2 linked regions of the Zea mays genome follow. The protein of the gene in region 1 interacts with the protein of each later gene in a pairwise test. Links are inferred from orthologs where the notes say so. Each region holds a gene or a part of one and is shown on either strand. Other genes may lie near its edges. The genes, in order: IDP798 and WD repeat-containing protein 33.

Region 1 (10,491 bases):
GGGAGGAAGAAGACATGGTTGCCTTACGAAGGGAGCCTCCCTCCTTTTAAAGCCAACTCCCCCTACGTGCGCCCCCAAGCGCCGCGGGCCGAGTCTTCTCCAACACGCTCCAAGGCCCTCCCCTGCGACTCGGGGGCTGGGTCCCGCACGTCATGCAAGCCGGCTCAGGGCAGAAGAAGCCAAACCGCCGCGCATGGTGCGCACGACCGTCCAGCGGTTACAGGCGACCCCCCATTTTCGCCCAGACCAACGGGCGGAAGGGGCGGGCAGCCATGCAGGCGGCATGCAACCACGCCAGATGGACGCGCTTCTCCGACTTCTGACACGCCAGCCTGGAACCCAGGCCCACGCGTCGAGCAACCGGCACGCCAGTTGCTGCATGCAAGCAACCGCACCGCCACTTGTGCCACCATCGCGCCTCTTCGGTTGCGAAGCCTGTGCCACGACTCGAGGCGACCCAACAGCGCCAGACTGGCGCGTCGGTCAAAGCGACCGAAAGTGGGCCAGCAGTAATAGCGGTGGCAGGCGGGCGGGCGCAGCAGTCACGTCGTCAGCCAGGCTCACGTCCCATCCTGAGACAGCAAGGGAGCCTCCTCTCACGGCGTGAAGACGGTGCACCCGTGACCCATTCCTCGAACGGATCGCACGCGCGCAACGACCGCCCCGCCAACCACTCACCCCGTCGCATTAACTCCGCGGCGAGACACGCGGCGCTTCTGGCAGGAGGAGCGCGCGACGCTTCACCTTCGCCGTAATAACCGCGTCAGAAAAGGTACGCCATATCGTCCGATTTCGTATCCTTTTCCGTTTTCCTCTTTCTCTATCTCTTGCAACAGGGACCGGGAAAGGGGGATACCCCGAAAGGGATCCTTCTCCGCGAAGGAACCGGGCTCCGAGCCCCCCATTACTGATCAGGGGTTCGAAGGCTGGCCCCCCGAGGGTTCAACAGTCGCCTCAGATCGCGTGGGCCCGACACCCACTACTGGTCAGGGGTTCGAAGGCCAGCCCCCCGAAGGGCTTCATGGCCGCCTCAGGCCACTCGGGCTCCGCGCCCATTACTGATCAGGGGTTCGAAGGCTGGCCCCCGAAGGGTTCACAGTCGCCTCAGACACCGAGCGAGGGATGACCAGGGGTACGTTCGATACATAACCGAGGCTCGGGCTGCGCTCCCGAGGTACCCTAGGACATTTCCGAGACCAGTGGGAACGATCTTGTAACGGAATCCCATCGGAGGGAGGCATCGAGCCCTCGGACCCCGTCGCCAGGGGACCGGGTCCGGCAAATCACCCGCAGGTACTTTTGGGCGTGCCTCTGGGCCCCTAGCCGACCCCAATGAACGGGGCACGGACGTCCACTCGGATTACCCGCTTGCAGCTCACCGGAGACACCATATTCGGTGCCCATCGAGGGTAACATGGCGCACTCCCCCCCTCCTCCTTGCGGAAAGGCGACGTAGGGGCGTATGTAAAAAGCCGAGTCTGTCCCTGATCGTCCTCTCGCCCTGAGCAGAGGCTCGGGGGCTGCTCTCGCAAAAACCGGCTCCGGCCAAATCGTTGACAGCGTCAACATACCAGCCCGAGAGCTTGGGCCCCGACCGTGCACCCGGGCTACGGCCAGTTCGCATGAGGGAACGACCAGACCAGCCAAAGTATTAAGACCTCGAAGGAGTGTAACCACTCCTCCGAGGCCTCGGGGGCTACACCCGGCGGGTGCGCTCGCGCGCACCCACCGGAACGAAATGCAACCGAGAAAGGCTGGTCCCCTTGCAAAAAAGTGCGACAAAAGCCTCCAAGCGAGTGCTAACACTCCCTTCGAGGCTCGGGGGCTACTGTCGGGGACCATAATTAGGGGTACCCTCAAGACGCCTAATTCTCAGCTGGTAACCCCCATCAGCATAAAGCTGCAAAGGCCTGATGGACATGATTAAGTCAGGGATCAGTCCACACGAGTGACTCGATCACGCTTCACCCGAGCCTAGCCTCAGCCGAAGGCAGCCGACCTCGAGAGACTTCCGTCTCGCCCGAGGCCCCCCTTTTTATGGCGGACACATCACCGGCTCGCCCAAGGCCTTGGCTTCGCTCAGAAGCAACCTTGACTAAATCACCACACCGACTGACCAAATTGCAGGGGCATTTAACGCACAGGAGGCCTGACACCTCTATCCTGACACGCGCCTCCGGCAGAGCCGAGGTGACCGCCGTCACTCCACCGCTCCACTGGCCAGTCTGACAGAAGGACAGCGCCGCCTGCGCCACTCCGACTGCAGCGCCACTCGACAGAGTAAGTCTGACAGGCAGTCAGGCCTCGACAAAGGCGCCACGGCGAACTCCGCTCCGCCCGACCCCAGGGCTCGGACTCGGGCTAAGACCCGGAAGACGGCGAACTCCGCTCCGCCCGACCCCAGGGCTCGGACTCGGGCTAAGACCCGGAAGACGGCGAACTCCGCTCCGCCCGACCCCAGGGCTCGGACTCGGGCTAAGACCCGGAAGACGGCGAACTCCGCTCCGCCCGACCCCAAGGCTCGGACTCGGGCTAAGACCCGGAAGACGGCGAACTCCGCTCCGCCCGACCCCAGGGCTCGGACTCGGGCTAAGACCCGGAAGACGACGAAACTCCGCCTCGCCCGACCCCAGGGCTCGGACTCCGCCCTGGCCTCGGCCGAACGACTTCCGCCTCGACCGACCCCTTGGCTCGGGCTCGGCCACGGCAACAGAAGGCAGACTCAACCTCGGCTTCGGAGGAAACCCCACGTCGCCCTACCTAGGGCACAGACCGCCACGTCAACAGTAGGCGCCATCATCATCCCACCCCGAATCGACTCGGGTCACGGAGAACAAGACCGGCGTCTCATCCGGCCAGCTCCGCCAGAGAGGCAATGATGGCGCTCCACAAGCTCCATGACGACGGCGGCCCCCAGCTCTCTTACGGAAGCAGGACGACGTCAGCAGGGACTCGACCGCTCCAACAGCTGTCCCTCCGCCAGGCTCCGCCGCACCTCCGACAGCCACGACATCACGCCAGCAGGGTGCCCAGATCTCTCCGGCTGCCACATTGGCATGTACCTAGGGCGCTAGCTCTCCCTCCGCTAGACACGTAGCACTCTGCTACATCCCCATTGTACACCTGGATCCTCTCCTTACGACTATAAAAGGAAGGACCAGGGCCTTCTCAGAGAAGGTTGGCCGCGCGGGACCGAGGACGGGACAGGCGCTCTCTTGGGACCGCTCGCTTCCCTCACCCGCGTGGACGCTTGTAACCCCCCTACTGCAAGCGCACCTGACCTGGGCGCGGGACGAACACGAAGGCCGCGGGACTTCCACCTCTCTCACGCTCGGCTCCGGCCGCCTCGCCTCTCCCCCCTTCGCGCTCGCCCACGCGCTCGACCCATCTGGGCTGGGGCACGCAGCACACTCACTCGTCGGCTTAGGGACCCCCCTGTCTCGAAACGCCGACACATGTGTAGCCTCACCACCTACCTGAATCACCTAGTCGGTGAGCTTATTTGCAATCCATAAGGTTGTCTTTAGTGGATCGTGTAAAATAGGGGACACAACACTGTAGACGACGTTGTTTGACACTGCTTGTAGAGTAAAGTTTGAAATAGAGGATGATATACGTGATGGAACAAAGGATCAACCGGAGATGACCTAATGCCCTCCGTGGCTCCCACGATCATGCACACTCGAAAATCTCATGCATAGACATCGATAGACATGGACTAATGTAAAAAAAAGTTCATCCAAAATTATTCAGTAACCCAAGTCAATCACTAATTTTAACATAATTGATGAGTTCTTAGGGAGCCACGTTCTTAATATTTTAGTTCTTCACAAACTTGCAGTCCGAACAATTTTATATGTAGCATACAAGTAAGGGCAAAGAATTTGCTAATTTTGATAGAGATCTAAACTTTGTTCCTACTGCATAAAAATGTAACCAATGGCAAAAATGTCAAAGTAGTCATTTCAGGTAGCTACAACTTTACATAGAGTCTACTCCATATAAAGTTGTGGAGTGGAGCAGCAATTTGTAGAGTGGGAGCCATATGGAGTCTCGCCTGCCAATTTAGAATTCTAGGTCTGAATACCACATCAAACAGACTGGTTGAGTAGATCTCTCATTTCATCATCTATTTTAAACTGTACTATACAAATAATATTGTCATATATAGTTTCGATTTTTCTAATTTACGCTATCTATGGAACACAGTCTCAAACCTACGGCCCAAACGGCGCGCTTTCGGCCCGCGATTCCCTCCTAACAACGGAGGGAGGGAGAAGTGGAAAAAATCGCCTCGCTTGTTGGCCTCCGTCAGCCCGCGCCTCCTTCCTCCGTCCTCCGGCTCGGCGGTCCGCCGCCCTCCTTCATCCTCCGGCTGGAGGCCCTCCTCCACCCCCGCCTCGCGGCCCTACACTCTCGTTGGGTCGGCACCCGTGCCTCCCATTCTCTCCTCTTCTCTCGCTCGAGCGCCGCGGCCTCTGCTCGCTCGGTCGAGGCTGAAGGACGGGACAAAGCGCAGATTGACCACCGGGCGTCGGAACCGCCGCCGCTGCCGCCGAAGGGGTTATAAGATCAGATGGGGACTTCGGTGCAGGTGACGCCTCTCAGCGGGGCGTACGGGGAGGGCCCCCTGTGCTACCTACTCGCCGTCGATGGTTTCCGCTTCCTCCTCGACTGCGGATGGACCGACCTCTGCGATACCTCGCAACTTCAACCCCTCGCAAAGTACACATCTTCTTTCTCTCGTGACTTGTCAGCTTAGCTTGTAGTCGATTGAGTTACTAGTGTGGAAGTGGCTCCTGCGCCCGGCGCACATTTTAGTACTCCTTCCGTCCACAAAAGAAGGCAATTCTCCCTTTTCGAGGAGTCACAAATTGAACTTTGACCATAATTACATAAAAATTACAAACAATTGTGGCACAAAATAAGTAGCATTAAATCGATTTAGAAGTATGTTTTCATAATAAACTTAGTTAAAGACATAAATGTTAATACTATTCGTTGTAAACTTGGTCAAAGTTAAACTAGTTGATTCACATATGTCCCATAGTTGCATTCTTTTGTGGACAGAGGGAATACACCTTTTCGACGAATTACCTCTGGTACTGTTTTAAAGGAGTCGCCTATGTGTCTGGGCAGTGGTCCAACGCCTAGGTGCCTTGCTCGCCTACCTCGCCTAGGCACACTCCAACGCCTTGTCTCGCCATACTGCTTTAAAAACCATGACCTCTGGCGGTGTGTCGGGAGTTTAGTTGGCGCTGTGCTCAGATGGATTGGCGACTGGCCCAATGCAATGCGCAACATCGATTTGTTCAGTTGCATTAATCAAGGGACTAAGGGAGTTGTCTAAATTCTGGCTGATGATTGGTGCCTCTGCGTGACTAGTAGATGGAGAGTAGCTCGTGGTTTCTACAGTCCTAGTTTTTTTTGTGCTGCAACCTATGCTATCTCCATCTTGTTTCAATGATTGACTGATGTGCTTGCACATTTATGTGTGCGTGTTGTAGGGTGAATGTTCACAAATCCATGTCCATCCAAAGGTGTAGTCTCCATCTTGTTTCAATTTATGTATGTGTGAATGGCTATTGTGCCACATCTTCTATGCCTAAGGTGTAGTCTAGTGTAATCGACGCACTTGCTCATATCTGTTGTTTCTTGTAAGAGGATGGAAATAAGTCTATCTGACGCTGTAAAACCATGTAGCTCCTTATGTCCAAACTTTGGCCTCTTTGTGTAACACCATGCCAATCACAGTGCATTGCCTTGTCGCTGATTTATCCTTTCACCATTCATTTTCCCGCCATTTGTTGTAATACATCTTATAGATGCAAGGATGCACTCCATTTTTCTTTCCAAAATCTACACTCAGCAGTTGAGTACTTGAGTAAAGGAGATACTTCCCATCACTGCAGATGCATACATGTCATTGGTGTCAATATGCTATTTATCGTCGTAGCAAATTGATTGTTAGTTTTCACTTACACTAATAGGCACTGTACATTTTTCAGGGTTGCACCAACTGTAGATGCTGTTCTTTTGTCACATCCTGACATGATGCATCTAGGAGCTTTGCCTTACGCTATGAAACACCTTGGGCTGTCTGCACCAGTTTATGCAACAGAACCCGTGTTTAGGCTTGGCCTTTTGACCATGTATGACCATTTCCTGTCTCGATGGGTAAGCGTCATGGTGCTTGATATTTTCCTAGGGCGTACACTTTTCAACCACTCCTTTAAAATGCCATATAGTCTCCTTCCCTCCCTCCCAATATGCTAAAGAAAACTGGACTTCACTTTGTAGTCTATATTTGTTCAGTGTACCCTTACCTGTTAATCTTTCTTTTGCAGCAAGTTTCAGACTTTGACTTGTTTACTCTAGATGATGTTGATGCTGCATTCCAAAATGTTGTGAGACTGAAGTACTCACAAAATTACCTTCTGAATGGTCAGTAAGGTCATGATGATTGTACCTTAACAATGATATACATTGTTTTAGCATGCTACACTGCATCTGCTCACATAATATCTTTTGATAGATAAAGGTGAAGGAGTTGTTATTGCTCCACATGTGGCTGGGCATCTTTTGGGGGGGACAGTTTGGAAGATTACAAAAGATGGGGAGGATGTTGTGTATGCTGTTGACTTCAACCATCGGAAAGAGAGGTTAGTTTTTCTCTTTTTTTTCAGAATTAATTTAGTGTTTTAGGCATAAAATACCAAAATTGTTGTATTTTCCCAGGCATTTGAATGGCACCGTTCTTGGATCTTTCGTGCGGCCAGCTGTTCTGATAACTGATGCTTACAATGCTTTGAACAACCAAGGCTATAGAAAAAAGCAGGATCAAGATTTCATTGGTACATTACTTGGCACTGTATCTGCTTTTATTATTCTGTTTCTTTAGACTTTTGCAGTTTAAGCAGTATTCCTAAGTTCTAGCATCTGAGTTTTGTCATCTCATGATGAAGTTCATTCTTGTTTTTTATAGAGCTCCAAAATGATGGGGTTTTTACCTTTTATATAGATATGTGATGCATCCTAGCCATGGTGTTGTACCATCGTCTAATGCCATCATCTTTCATGCAGAATCATTAATTAAAGTTCTGGCAACTGGTGGAAGTGTGCTACTTCCTGTTGACACGGCTGGTAGAGTGTTGGAACTTCTTTTGTTATTGGATATGGTAAAAATCTCTGACACTATTGCTGGACTCTGTATTCCTGTTAGTTCAATAATGTGCTATCGTCTTGTTATGTTACAGTACTGGGATGAAAGGCGATTGCAGTACCCTATCTACTTCCTGACAAATGTGTCGACAAGTACCGTTGATTATGTCAAGAGTTTTCTTGAATGGATGGGTGATCAAATTGCAAAATCTTTTGAAAGCAGTAGAGCCAATGCCTTCTTGTTAAAGTATGACCTCAAACATAAGTTCTAACTAAACCTTTCGTTGGTTCTTTTTGTGCTATGTTCACTTACAAATCCTCTTTTAATGCATATAATGAAGTCACAGTTTTATATTTTCTCATCTGAGTTGTTCAGTTATTAGAACTTAGAAGTCTACATTTGACCTGTACTTTTAGCTTTTTTAACCAATTCTGCCCCTCAGATTTTGGATATTTGTATTAAATGAACAGGTTTTCAATAATAAATTGTGGTCCATCTGATCTGATTCTATTATTAACAACCTTTGATGTTCAATGTCGCAGAAAGGTCACGCTGATAATTAACAAAGAAGAGCTTGAGAAATTGGGAGATGCTCCAAAGGTTAGGGTAGCATAATTATCTGTTTCTCTTTCTCTACTATACTGTTGGAACCTTGAACTAAACACTTATTTAGTAGGTGGTTCTGGCATCCATGGCAAGTTTGGAGGTTGGCTTTTCTCATGACATATTTGTGGAGATGGCAAATGAAGCAAGAAATCTAGTGCTCTTTACTGAGAAGGGACAGGTACATTCCTGTGTGTTGCTCTTGTCATCAATCTTCACATGCTCTCACTAGTTAGCAATCTGAAATGACATGCCACAGGAAGTATTTAAGCTCCCGAATTATGACTGCTTGAGTGCTGACAGTGCTTGCCCACACTTAAACAAATTGAATATGATTATGAAGCCTCACTTTGATCAAACTACCATTCTTTTAATCCTAATGTTCTTTCACTTACAAGCATGAGTATCATTATACAACTACCTGATCAGAAAATATTTGCTCTCCAGTTTGGGACACTGGCTCGAATGCTCCAAGTGGACCCACCCCCTAAAGCTTTAAAGGTCACTATGAGCAAGAGGATTCCTTTGGTGGGTAATGAACTAAAGGCTTATGAAGAAGAGCAAGAACGGATAAAAAAAGAGAAATCGCTAAAGGCTAGCCTTGTCAAAGAAGAGGAGCTAAAGGCTTCTCATGGATCAAACACAAAGGCTTCTGAGCCAATGGTCATTGATGCAAGCTCATCTCGAAAATCTGTGAATGGTATAACACGCCTAGATGTTAATCTCTCTCATAACTTACCACACATGCAACCATAAAATATTTTATTGAAATGACTTACATGCAACCTTAAATATGGCATATCTGTCGATAATGAGTTCTAGAGTACACTTGCTGTTTCTTTGATTCAGCTCTACTTTTTTTCTGCTTGCTTCAGACAATGGCTTGATCAAGTTTGATGTCACTCTTCATGATTACTAGTTATATGCCCGTGCGTTGCAACGGGGTGGGGAAGCGGGTGGAACGATGACTAGACTACAAATATAATTATTGTTTATTTCTAAACATCAAAATATGTGTGGTCTGATAGTTAACCTCAATTTTCTAGAGCAGTCGGCTTGAGTTAGAGTGCTCGCTTTGCACTATTTTTTGCGCGCGCTGAGCGTGGGGAGGGTGAAGCCGTGGTAGCAACATGTGCCCATATTAGGTTCTTAATAGAGAGTAGTATAGATAACTATATTGAAGTAGGCAAGACAATGCTTATGCTAACATTTCTGCCGTTCCATTTAGTTTCTACAAACTTATGCTGTAAGGTTTATTTCTATTTGATGTGACATGTTATGTATAGTTGACTATCATTCTTTACTTTGTGACACTACCAGCTTCACATTTTGGTGGGAACAATGATATTCTCATAGATGGATTTGTCCCTCCTTTAACCAGTGTTGCTCCAATGTTTCCCTTCTTTGAAAACACTGCTGAATGGGACGACTTTGGTGAGGTCATCAACCCTGATGATTATATGATGAAACAAGAAGAAATGGATAATACTCTGATGCTTGTAAGTTTGCTTATACACCCATGTGGCCACATGCCTCTTGAGTCTTTAAAGTTGATCATATGTAAATTACCTGTCTGTCAGATATAGTTATTGTTCATAACACTGAGTTGCATTGACTGGAAGATGACGGTGGTTTCATTGGATCAAATTAGCCAACTCTGTGTTTTCCTTTGTGATAACTGAGATGTTTTGAACAGAACTGGAAATACATGAAACTCGGTATAAGACGACCATCAATTGAATTATTTTGGGTTCTGACAAGCATGTATTCTTCAGGGCCCTGGAGATGGATTAGATGGTAGGATCGATGATGGCTCAGCACGCCTGCTTCTTGATTCAACGCCCTCAAAAGTCATTTCCAACGAGATGACTGTAAGTTTTTCCCTCCTTGTTTTCTTTCATTAGTTTCTGCATCAATTGCAGAGCTAGATATATGTCTATATACAGATTGAAATTTTACACGTGCGCCGGTATACTGAACATTTTTTCAGGTTCAAGTGAAATGCTCATTGGTTTATATGGACTTTGAAGGTCGCTCTGATGGGCGTTCTGTAAAATCAATTATTGCTCACGTGGCTCCACTGAAACTTGTATGTGAATTTAATTTGAAATATTCTTTCTTGTGCGTGCATGGTTTAGATTTTACACTTTAAACTAAAGAATGCTACTTTCTGGAGCATATTCTTTCTTTGGCGCACACATACTGTTATACTTCTCCATGGCAAAGATAACCTTTTGAATTCTCCTCAATTCCATTTACTTAAATATCTGTGGTACTGAGTCTGACACCAAAGATGGTAGGGTATGCCATTTCTAAGCATTTTTTGGGATGACATGCCACTGCAAAACTTTATTTAAATTGAAAGTGCCTGCTGCTTGTTTGATTAGTTGGCACAAAATTTGAGTGGCCTGGTACTGTTATCCTTGTGGTTAATGGTTGACCTGTACATAGAAAGTTGTTATCTTATGCTGAATCATGCATTACTTTTTGCAGATCCTGGTGCATGGATCAGCTGAAGCAACTGAACATTTGAAAATGCACTGCGCAAAGAATTTAGATTTGCATGTTTATGCTCCACAGATTGAGGAAACTATTGATGTAACATCAGACTTATGTGCTTATAAGGTTAGCATCTTAACTACACACTCTCTTTAAGTACCGAGTAGAACCTTTGCTTAGGAGGTCATGAAGGTCAGGCAACCTATAATATACTAAATGTGCTACTT
Region 2 (9,869 bases), about 82 Mb from region 1:
AGCTTTAGAAGATAGTACCTATGTTTGATAAATACCTTCATCTGTATGAAATCACGAGCAATCAGATGTTATACGAAATTCTTACGGATTGAAGTGTTAAATGTGAATCTAGCATACAATGGACACAATACTATTGTGCACCATAATAGTGAAGTTCGACAAAAAGTGCATACGAATAATTATCATGCTAGTAATTCTTCAATTAATCTTAACATGGATAGTTACTCTATGTTAGTATGTTATGCAGAAAATCCCGTTAATCCTAATAACCAATCAAAGATCTTGATGACTAGTTCTTGTTACAAACTTATTTTGATAGCTTTAACGAATTGCAGATGTTACCTTCTGTCGCATATCCAGACAATCCCTCAACAAGTTTTGCTGCCAAATTTGTACATTCGTCAATCAATAAGAACCGGTGCTCTATTAATCGTGTCTTGGTGAGTAACTGAGTATTGTAACCTATTTTTCTGCTTTCTCAATAATCCACATTGAACATTTCGCTGTTATGTACTTGTATTCTCAGAAGTCAAGCAACAGCTTGCTGTTGGTTATACATAAATCCAATTAGCAATACCAAGCGATTATACATAAATGCAATTAGCAACACCAAGGGGAAAAATTAGAGTAGACAGTAGAGATACACCATAGAAGAAACTTGAGCTAAGAGAGGGTCTGAGAGACACATTTATCCTACGTGATTGCAGCAAAATACCATCCTTGAAGCCTTTCTTCCACTTACTGAAATCTGATTGCTTTCCTTCAAAACTATTATTGTTTCCTGACCGCGAAGCTAGCTCTATCAGGATTTCTATGAAATGTAATTCATCTCTAGGTGTATATTTCAACCATATGGATTATGGATTACTATTGTGAAGTTGTTATTTTTAAAAGCCTGTAACTGCTTACAGTTGGATAAATATGCTCATTGATATGCCATTCATGATTAACAATAATACAATATTAGAATCTACCACTTATATCCTGGGCTGATCACTAGTCAGAATTTCAAAATTTGCAATGCTACATGCAAATTACTATTGCATTTTGGTAAATTCATCCAAGCCTTGCCTTGTGATCTTGGTAAAAACTGCTACAAATGAGCATTTATTCTTTTATGCATTAGTACACTCAATGATTTCAAGTCGAGCGACTTGCTAGTCGACACACCTGGGCGACTAGGCGACTAATCGCGATTAGGACGACGACTAGGTCGACTAATCGTGGCTAAGGCAGCAGCAGATTGAAGAGGGGATTCAAGAGGGGGGGACAGATCAAGAGAAAGGTGCAGAGGGGATTCAAGAGGGGGGACAGATCAAAAGAAAGGTGCAGTGATTGAAGTTACCGTCGGTTGATGTACTCATCTTGGTGCTAATGGCTGCTGGGCCGCCGCCGCTGCAGACTGCTGTTGGGCCGCCGCCGTCGAGGACGGTGAGCTGCTGACGCCGAGGAGGAAGGTGCAGGGCTGCCGCCACCGAGGAAAAGGGTGAGCAGGTGAGCACATTGAGGAACAAGGAGGGGGCAGAGGGTACCCACCGGTGTTGCACAGGGAGAGGTGAGCCGCCGCACAGGCACAGCCACCTGAACAGGAGAGAAGAGCAAAAAGCCACCGGAACAGGAGAGGAGAAGGTGACCTAAACCCTAACGTGTGTTTTACTGTTACACTAATGGGCCCAGCCGTCCAGCCCATATCCCAAACAGGCCGAAACAGGAGCCCTGGAAAATTAATCGTCCCGACCTAAACTGGACGACTAATCGTGTTTAGTCGACGACTAATCGGACGACCGGACGATTAGTCGAGCTGATCGGGTCGGCCTCCCTAGTCGTGTTAACAGGACCGACTAGTCCGACTAATCGCGACTAATCGCGATTAGTCGGACGACTTGAAATCACTGAGTACACTACAAACCAGGTAAATATTGTCAAGAAACTGTGCTGTCTTATTAATTTTGTCTATTTTAGTTTGTTGATTATGACAATCTGTAGCATAATTATCACTTTAATCAACATCCATCCACTTCTATTATTTTCATCCACTTGGGGTATAATACAATTTTATTTGTGGATAAAGTGGACCCCTACAGGCCGTCGACTTATCACTGGATCACAAAGTGGTGAATTTACGCTATGGAATGGGCAATCTTTTAACTTTGAAATGATACTTCAGGTATTCCACATTAATTATTTTGGACTTACTAATATGTGATAGTTTTAACTTAGTTTTTGGAGAAATCTGACAATCAGGCTCATGATCTACCTGTGAGATCAATGGTTTGGAGTCACAATGAAAACTGGATGGTGACGGGAGATGATGGTGGTGCAATCAAGTACATGTCCCTTCGCTTTCGTACCTTCAAGAAAAATCGTCATTTTGAACTGTACATTGTTTAACTCTTCAGCTGAACCTTTTGAATTCTTCTCCAGGTATTGGCAAAGTAACATGAACAACGTCAAAGTGAATAAAACAGCTCATAGAGAATCAGTTCGTGGTTTAAGGTGATGGCTGTATGATGCACTTTTTATTGTTTGCTACAAAGTTCATGTTCAATGTGTGCTGAAACATGTCCTTCAAACAGTTTTTCCAGGACAGACTTAAAATTCTGCTCCTGCTCCGATGACCGAACAGTGAAGGTTTGGGACTTCGCAAGATGCCAAGAGGAAAAATCATTAACTGGTAATGTTGCTAAAATTTTCTTGCAAATATTAATCTGGCATACAGCTGATTATTTGAAGTTATTATGTGATATTACGCGAAAGGGCCTTTAGCTGTGTTGGTTAGGTGGTCTGAGTAGCACTTCTCAGGTCTTGAGTTTGACTCCCCGTGTGAGCGAATTTTAGGTTGAGGTTAAAAAAACCCTCTCGTCTGTCCCACGCTAAAGCACAGGCCTAAGGCTCGGCCCTGGTCATGGACTCGCGGTCGTTCTCACATGGGCTACGGTGCCGCGGTGTATGGGTGGGCTACGGTGCCGCTGCGTATGGGTGGGGTAGGGGTTCGGGGTTTTCTCGACCTGCGTGAGAAGATCTTCTTAATGTAATACCTGGGGGCTGTCTTACCCCGTGGGTCGAGTTTTTATTATGTGATATTACTTTGTTTTTTCATCAAATAACCTGAATTTCCCTTCAACTCAGCCAGGCCACGGTTGGGATGTTAAAACTGTCGATTGGCATCCTACAAAGTCTTTACTGGTTTCAGGTTAGTATATGTTTGTTCTTGTTTAATGAGTTTATTCATGCGGGACTTATTCAATTCTGTGTCCATAGGTGGCAAAGACTATCTTGTGAAACTTTGGGATGCAAAAAGTGGCAGAGAGCTGAGCTCATTGTCGGTATTCCTGCCACTTCCATATTTTGTTAATTCTTGAAGATCTGTGTTACATTATGATTTATATCTGCAGCCATGGTCATAAAAATATTGTGCATTGCGTGAAGTGGAATCAGAATGGGAACTGGGTACTGACTGCCTCGAAGGATCAGATTATTAAGGTCTGTTGCTTGTTCTTTTGTACTTTGGTCTGTTTTTCTTGTCTTCAAAGAACTGATGGCAGTGTACACGCTATAACCAAAATTCTAGTGCTGTCTATGGAGATGGGCCAATCCATCCTTGTGAGCAAATGATGGCAGTAAATTATTAACTTTTGGTACGTTTGCTAATGCTATCACTAATTCGTTTTGCAGCTGTATGATATTAGATCCATGAAAGAGCTGCAATCCTTCCGTGGGCACACCAAGGACGTCACTGGTTAGATAGCTGTTCCAATATCAAGATTTTTATAATTTATATACCCCTTCACATATTTTAAGCTTCAAAAATTGACACAAGTTTTGGATGTACTAGTTCATTTGTTCATTGTAACCATACATTCTATGATTGTTAGAACAGTGGCTAAAAAATTTCTAGAAAGGTATGGTGCCCACACTTGTTTGCCAAGGTTGTACTGAATATGTATTCGGTTACTTCATTTTTACAGCATTGGCGTGGCACCCATTTCATGAAGAATATTTTGTTAGTGGGAGCTTTGATGGAGCTATATTTCATTGGTTAGTCGGGTAAGGTATCCATAGCATAATTGAAATTACTGATCTTTGTCACCCTTGGAATTTGCTACTTTGTGCTAAGTTATTCAATTCTTTTCACCCTCCAAGATCGACGTACAACTTTTTATGTCTTTTGTTGTCTGAAAATAATGTCTCAAGTCTCAACTTGATGAGCAAGCTGTTTCATTTTTTTGTCAGCCATGAAGCTCCACAGATTGAAATAAGTAATGCACATGACAGTAGTGTCTGGGATCTTTCGTGGCATCCTGTAGGCTATCTACTTTGCAGGTACTTGGCTTGCTTTTGAATTTTGTATTGTAACACTTTATGACATGTTTGCTTATTTTACTGTAATGCATACATAATCTGAATTTATTTTCAATACAATTTGTTTCATTTGTTTAATGCTTTAGTTGTATGTGAACTCATTAAAAATCAAATATTTGATTTATTTTGTAGTGGAGGCAATGATCACGCTACAAAGTTCTGGTGTAGAAACAGGCCTGGTGATCTTACCCGTGATAGATACAACAGTGGCCAAATGCAAGGTTGCCTTTATTTGAATTTAGCTCGTTATTTCATCTCATTTGTCCTGTTTTGGTCATAAAACAATAACATATTAGACATATACTCTTGCACTTGCATGTACATGTATAATTGTATACACCCCCTTCCAATATCACTATTTAGTTCGTCTATTACTTGCTTCACACAGACAGGTGTTTAATGGTGTTTATGTGCTGCCTTGTGACCTTTTCCTTCCAAAGAAGGAATTCTTAATGCATAGATTATGACTTTTTTCAGGTTTTGGTGACCAACATGCTGCTTTTGGTGCTCGTGGTATGGGTGGATTCCAGATGCCTGAACCTCCAATAACGCCTGGACCATTTGCTCCTGGATTGTCACGCAATGAAGGTACCATCCCTGGCATTGGGGTTGCAATGACCTTGGCAGGCCAGTCTTTTGATGGATCTGATGGAGAGCAGAGGCCATCTATTCCGGGTCTTCCACCTGGGCAACCCCCGCTGCCACCAGGTCCTCATCCATCACTTCTTGGGCAGCAACAACAGTATCAACAGATACCTCAGCAGCAACATCCCCAGTTTTCGCAGCCACCACCTCCGAACATGCCCCAACTGCAGGCACCAGCTCACATGCTTTCACATTCACAAGGATCTCGGCCTACTCTTCCCCAGCTTCCACCAATGGGTGGACCATCAGTGCCATCACAAGTGAACCCACCGCTTCCGCCTATGCCTCACCCAACGGTACTGTTCATTGATACCTTTACAACGTTGTTAAACTGAGGGAGGTACAACTGTTTACTTAGCATGTTCTGTCTTTCTATTTATCTGAGCTGATAAGTGATAATCGAAAACCAAATGCCTCGTCTGCAAACCTTGCAAGTTTGCATCAAAAGACCGTTTTCAGTGAACTTGTTTTTTTTTCTCAAAGAAAAAAAAACTCCAATTGACCTTCAAAATTGTTAGCATGTCTGCTTTAGTTTGAGATAAGCATGAATATGTATGAATTTGATATGACACATGAATACATCTGAGTTTAAGGTGAAGAATTGTTAGAATACCCGTTTAGGGTTTGGGTCTTCCCCGTGTAATGACCATCTCACCCCTCTGTAATGGGCCTGGCCCAGTTTACTCAGCCTATTAATACATCACCCAACCCCTGTTAGGGTTAGGGTTCACATTCCAACATGGTATCAGAGAGCTAGGGTTAGTTTTTTTCCTTCCAGCCGCCGGCCCCCAGCCGCCGGCCTCCCTCTCCCGCCGCCGGCCCCCCAGCCGCCGGCCTCCCTCTCCAGCTGCCGGCCTCCCTCCTCTCCCTCCCAGCCGCCAGCTCCTCCCCTGCTGCCTGCCGCCCCTGCAGTTCGCGCCCCAGCCGCGTCCCCCAGCCGCCATTCCACGAGTACTGCGTCTACGCCGCCGCCTGGTCCGCGCGCCACCCGGACGTCTTCGCGTCGGCCTCCGGAGACCGAACCGCGCGCGTCTGGGACGTCTGGGACCCCGCGCCCACGCTCATCCTGCCCGCGCACGACCACGAGGTGCTCTTGCTCGACTGGGACAAGTACGACCCCTCCATCCTCGCCACCGCCTCCGTCGACAAGTCCATCCGCGTTTGGGACGTGCGCGCGCCGCGGGCGCCCATCGCGCTGCTCGCCGGACACGGCTACGCCGTTAAGCGGGTCCGTTTCTAGCCAACACCGCGCCCCAAGCCTGCAGCGACCCAAGTGCCGCGACGCCCGCGCTCAGGCGCCGCCGCCCCCACCGGCAGCTCGCGCCCATCGACCCCGCGCCGTCCAGGAGCACCCGCCCGGAGGACCCGCGCCCCTGCTGTTCCGCGCCAAGCAGCGCCCCTGCTGTCTCGTGCCGAGGACGCCCGACGCCGAGCACCCAGCCGCCCCTGCTGTTCCGCGCCTGGCTGTCCAGTCCGCGCCTCCCTGCGCCGGCCTGCACCGGTCGCCATGAGCTTTACCTAGCCCGCCGCTCTCGTGACTGTGCGTGTCCTCCTCCACGGCGGCCAGCTCATCCGGGGCATGTTCGTGTCCTTCGATCCAGTCTGGAACCCTATTCTTCGGGACTGCGTCGAGGTCCACCCTCAGGCGGGCCGTCACGTGCCTGGACCGCTTGTCTTCCCACGTGCTGCGATCGCCTCCCTAGCGATTGAGCCCGTGTCATCTCCCTCCCTAGTGCCTCTGTCGGGGCACCTTATTTGGCCCTCTCCGCTCACACCGTACCTTCGCCACTTCCACCTCCCCGAACCACCACCGATTGGGTGGTTGACTCCGGGGCCTCCTTCCACACTACCCCCACCACTAATTCGTTACTCCACTCCCATCCACCCCACCCCTCACATCCTACCTCCATCGTCGTCGGCAGCGGTTCCACCCTCCCAGTCACCTCAGTAGGTACATTGGTTCTTCCAGGACCATTCTGCCTTAACGACGTCCTTGTTGCTCCCGGACTGACTCATCCCCTCCTCTCGGTTTGTCGCTTCACTAGTGACAACCAGTGCTCTATGGAGTTCGACCCCTGGGGCCTCACCATACGCCACCTTCCCACATGCTGTGCTCGCTCGCTGTGACAGCTTCGGCCCCCTCTATTCTCTTCACTTGCCCTCCACTCCCCACACCAGAGTAGCCTCATCTCCTATACTTACTACTACCACCACATCACATGCTCTTGCTACTACCACCACCTCCTCCGCCATTTGGCACCGTCGCCTCGGGCACCCTGGACCTGACGTCATGTCCTAGCTTTCTGGCCTCTCCGACATATCATATACTCGGGGCTCTTTTGAGCGCCTCTGTCATGCTTGTCAGCTCGGCTGTCACTCCCGTCTTCCTTTTTCCACTTCCACGTCCAGGACTGTTCAGGCCTTTGATCTTGTCCACTGTGATCTCTGGACATCTCCTGTCCTTAGCCTCTCCGACTACAAATACTACCTGGTCATTCTGGATGACTACTCCCATTTCCTTTGGACTTTCCCCCTTCGGCTGAAGTCCGACACGTTTACCACCCTCACTCACTTCTTCGCCTGGGTATCCACCCAGTTCCGGCGCCCGGTCCGTGCCCTGCAGTGTGATAATGGCCGCGAGTTCGACAACAACGCCTCCCGCTCTTTCTTCCTCACTCACGGCGTCCAGTTGCGTCTCTCGTGTCCCTACACCTCTGCTTAGAACGGCCGGGCCGAGCGCATGATTCGCACCACCACCAACATGATCCACTGCCTTCTCTTTCAGGCGTCTCTCTCTGCCACCTACTGGGCAGAGGCCCTTCATACCGCCACGCATCTCCTCAACCGTCTTCCCTCGAAGGCGGTGAGCCACCCTACACCTCACTTCGCCCTGTACGGCACAGCCCCTTCCTACGACCACCTGCGCGTGTTCGGCTGTGCCTGCTACCCTAACATTTCCGCTACCGCCCCTAACAAGCTTTCTCCTCGCTCCACTCGCTGCCTCTTCCTCGGCTACTCCCTTGACCACAAGGGGTATCGGTGCCTGGACCTCACCTCCCAGCGCATCATCATCTCTCGTCACGTCGTCTTCGACGAAGATGTGTTTCCCCTTGCAGGCTCCACCCCACCCACCGATCTTGACTCCCTCCTCGAGTCCGACCCGGTTCCCCCCACCCCCGGCGCCCCGTCTTGCGTCGTTACCTGCTCCTCGTGCAGCCACGACGCCACAGCTCGCGCCCATTTCCGCGCCACGCGCGGCGCCATCGACCCCGCCTGCGCCACGCGCGGCGCCATCGACCCCGCCTGCGCCACGCGCGGCGCCATCGACCCCGCCTGCGCCACGCGCGGCGCCATCGACCCCGCCTGCGCCACGCACGGCCACGTTGGTCATGCCTGCGCCATGCGCGGCCCCGTCGATCCTGCCTGCGCCACGCGCGGCCCCGTCGACCCCGGCTTGCTTCGCCATCCCCACACTCGTCTACCACCGCCGCGGCCACGCCACTACCTCCGCGCCCCCCGACTCGGGCCCGTCGACGAGCGCGACCCGCTTTGCCGACCCCGCCGTCGTCTATCACCGCCGCGAGCCGGCCACACCCGCCGCTCTCGACGTTTCGGCGGTCCGCTCCGAGTCGTCCGTATACCACCTGGTCGCCATCCACCGTGACCCCGGACATGTCCACCCGATGGTGACTCGGCGCGCCGCTGGCGTTCTTCGCCCCGTCGACCGGCTGATCCTGGCAGCTGTCAGCTGATACGTTCAACACTCCACCCGACGCTTCCCCGGTGCCCTCCTCCGTTCGCACTGCCCTCGCCGACCCACATTGGCGTCGTGCTATGGAGGAGTACGCGGCCCTCTTGTCCAACCACACCTGGGACCTGGTGCCGTGTCCACCAGGCACCAACGTGGTCATCGGCAAGTGGCTATTTCGCCACAAGCTGACCTCGGATGGCTCCCTCGGCCGCTACAAGGCCCGTTGGGTCCTTCGGGGCTTCACACAGCGCCCCAGAGTGGACTACGATGAGACCTTCAGCCCCGTCGTCAAGTTCGCCACTGTTCGCGCCGTCCTCCCTCGCCCTCTCCCGCGACTGGGCGATCCATCAGCTCGATGTCAAGAATGCCTTCCTCCATGGCACTCTGACGGAGACTGTCTACTGCAGCCAGCCCACCGGCTTCGTCGACGTTGACCGTCCGGATCTGGTCTGCCGGCTGAACCGGTCCCTATACGGCCTCAAGCAGGCGCCACAGGCATGGTACAGTCGCTTCGCCTCCTACCTGGCCTCCATCGGCTTCGTTGAGGCCAAGTCGGACACGTCCCTGTTCATCTACCGGCGCGGCGACGACACCGTCTACCTCCTGCTCTACGTCGACGACATTGTGCTCACGACATCCACCGCCGACCTTCTACACCGCACGATCGTCGCCCTTTAGCTGGAGTTCGCGATGAAGGACCTGGGGCCCCTACACCACTTCCTCGGCATCACCGCCGAGCGCCGGCCCCAGGGTCTCTTCCTCCACCAGCGCCAGTACGCCATCGACATCCTGGAGCGGGCTGGCATGTCTGACTGCAAGCCCTGCTCCACGCCTGTCGACACTTAGGCGAAGCTCTCTGAGGATGACGGGCCTCCGGTCACCGTCGCGACGTCCTACTGGAGCCTGACCGGCGCGCTCTAGTACCTCACCTTCTCCAGGCCCGACATCGCATATGCCGTCCAGCAGGTGTGCCTGCATATGCACACTCCGCGGGAGCCCCATCTCACCGCGCTCAAGCGGATTCTGCGCTACCTCCGCGGCTCCCTCGACTACGACCTCCTTCTCCGACCATCCCCGACGTCGGAGCTCGTGGTGTACACCGACGCTAACT

The links.
Region 2: the proteins of IDP798 (region 1) and WD repeat-containing protein 33 interact in binary tests that used the Arabidopsis thaliana proteins (3 or more experiments, as listed by UniProt). The link is inferred for Zea mays from reciprocal best matches to the Arabidopsis thaliana genes CPSF100 and FY.

What each region holds. Positions count from the first base shown.
Region 1 is NC_050098.1:233,409,382-233,419,872, reverse strand, and holds the start of IDP798 (Cleavage and polyadenylation specificity factor subunit 2), read left to right. Parts: upstream 1-4,230; 5' UTR 4,231-4,576; coding exon 4,577-4,725; intron 4,726-6,008; coding exon 6,009-6,177; intron 6,178-6,347; coding exon 6,348-6,444; intron 6,445-6,535; coding exon 6,536-6,662; intron 6,663-6,738; coding exon 6,739-6,854; intron 6,855-7,083; coding exon 7,084-7,178; intron 7,179-7,256; coding exon 7,257-7,408; intron 7,409-7,704; coding exon 7,705-7,762; intron 7,763-7,838; coding exon 7,839-7,946; intron 7,947-8,212; coding exon 8,213-8,465; intron 8,466-9,085; coding exon 9,086-9,264; intron 9,265-9,540; coding exon 9,541-9,636; intron 9,637-9,755; coding exon 9,756-9,854; intron 9,855-10,258; coding exon 10,259-10,390; intron 10,391-10,491. UniProt on the Arabidopsis thaliana protein: CPSF plays a key role in pre-mRNA 3'-end formation, recognizing the AAUAAA signal sequence and interacting with poly(A)polymerase and other factors to bring about cleavage and poly(A) addition. Required for antisense-RNA-mediated gene silencing.
Region 2 is NC_050098.1:151,289,010-151,298,878, forward strand, and holds part of WD repeat-containing protein 33, read left to right. Parts: intron 1-335; coding exon 336-440; intron 441-2,071; coding exon 2,072-2,167; intron 2,168-2,244; coding exon 2,245-2,327; intron 2,328-2,424; coding exon 2,425-2,496; intron 2,497-2,576; coding exon 2,577-2,674; intron 2,675-3,133; coding exon 3,134-3,193; intron 3,194-3,261; coding exon 3,262-3,322; intron 3,323-3,395; coding exon 3,396-3,483; intron 3,484-3,675; coding exon 3,676-3,739; intron 3,740-3,968; coding exon 3,969-4,047; intron 4,048-4,233; coding exon 4,234-4,323; intron 4,324-4,494; coding exon 4,495-4,583; intron 4,584-4,839; coding exon 4,840-5,303; intron 5,304-9,869.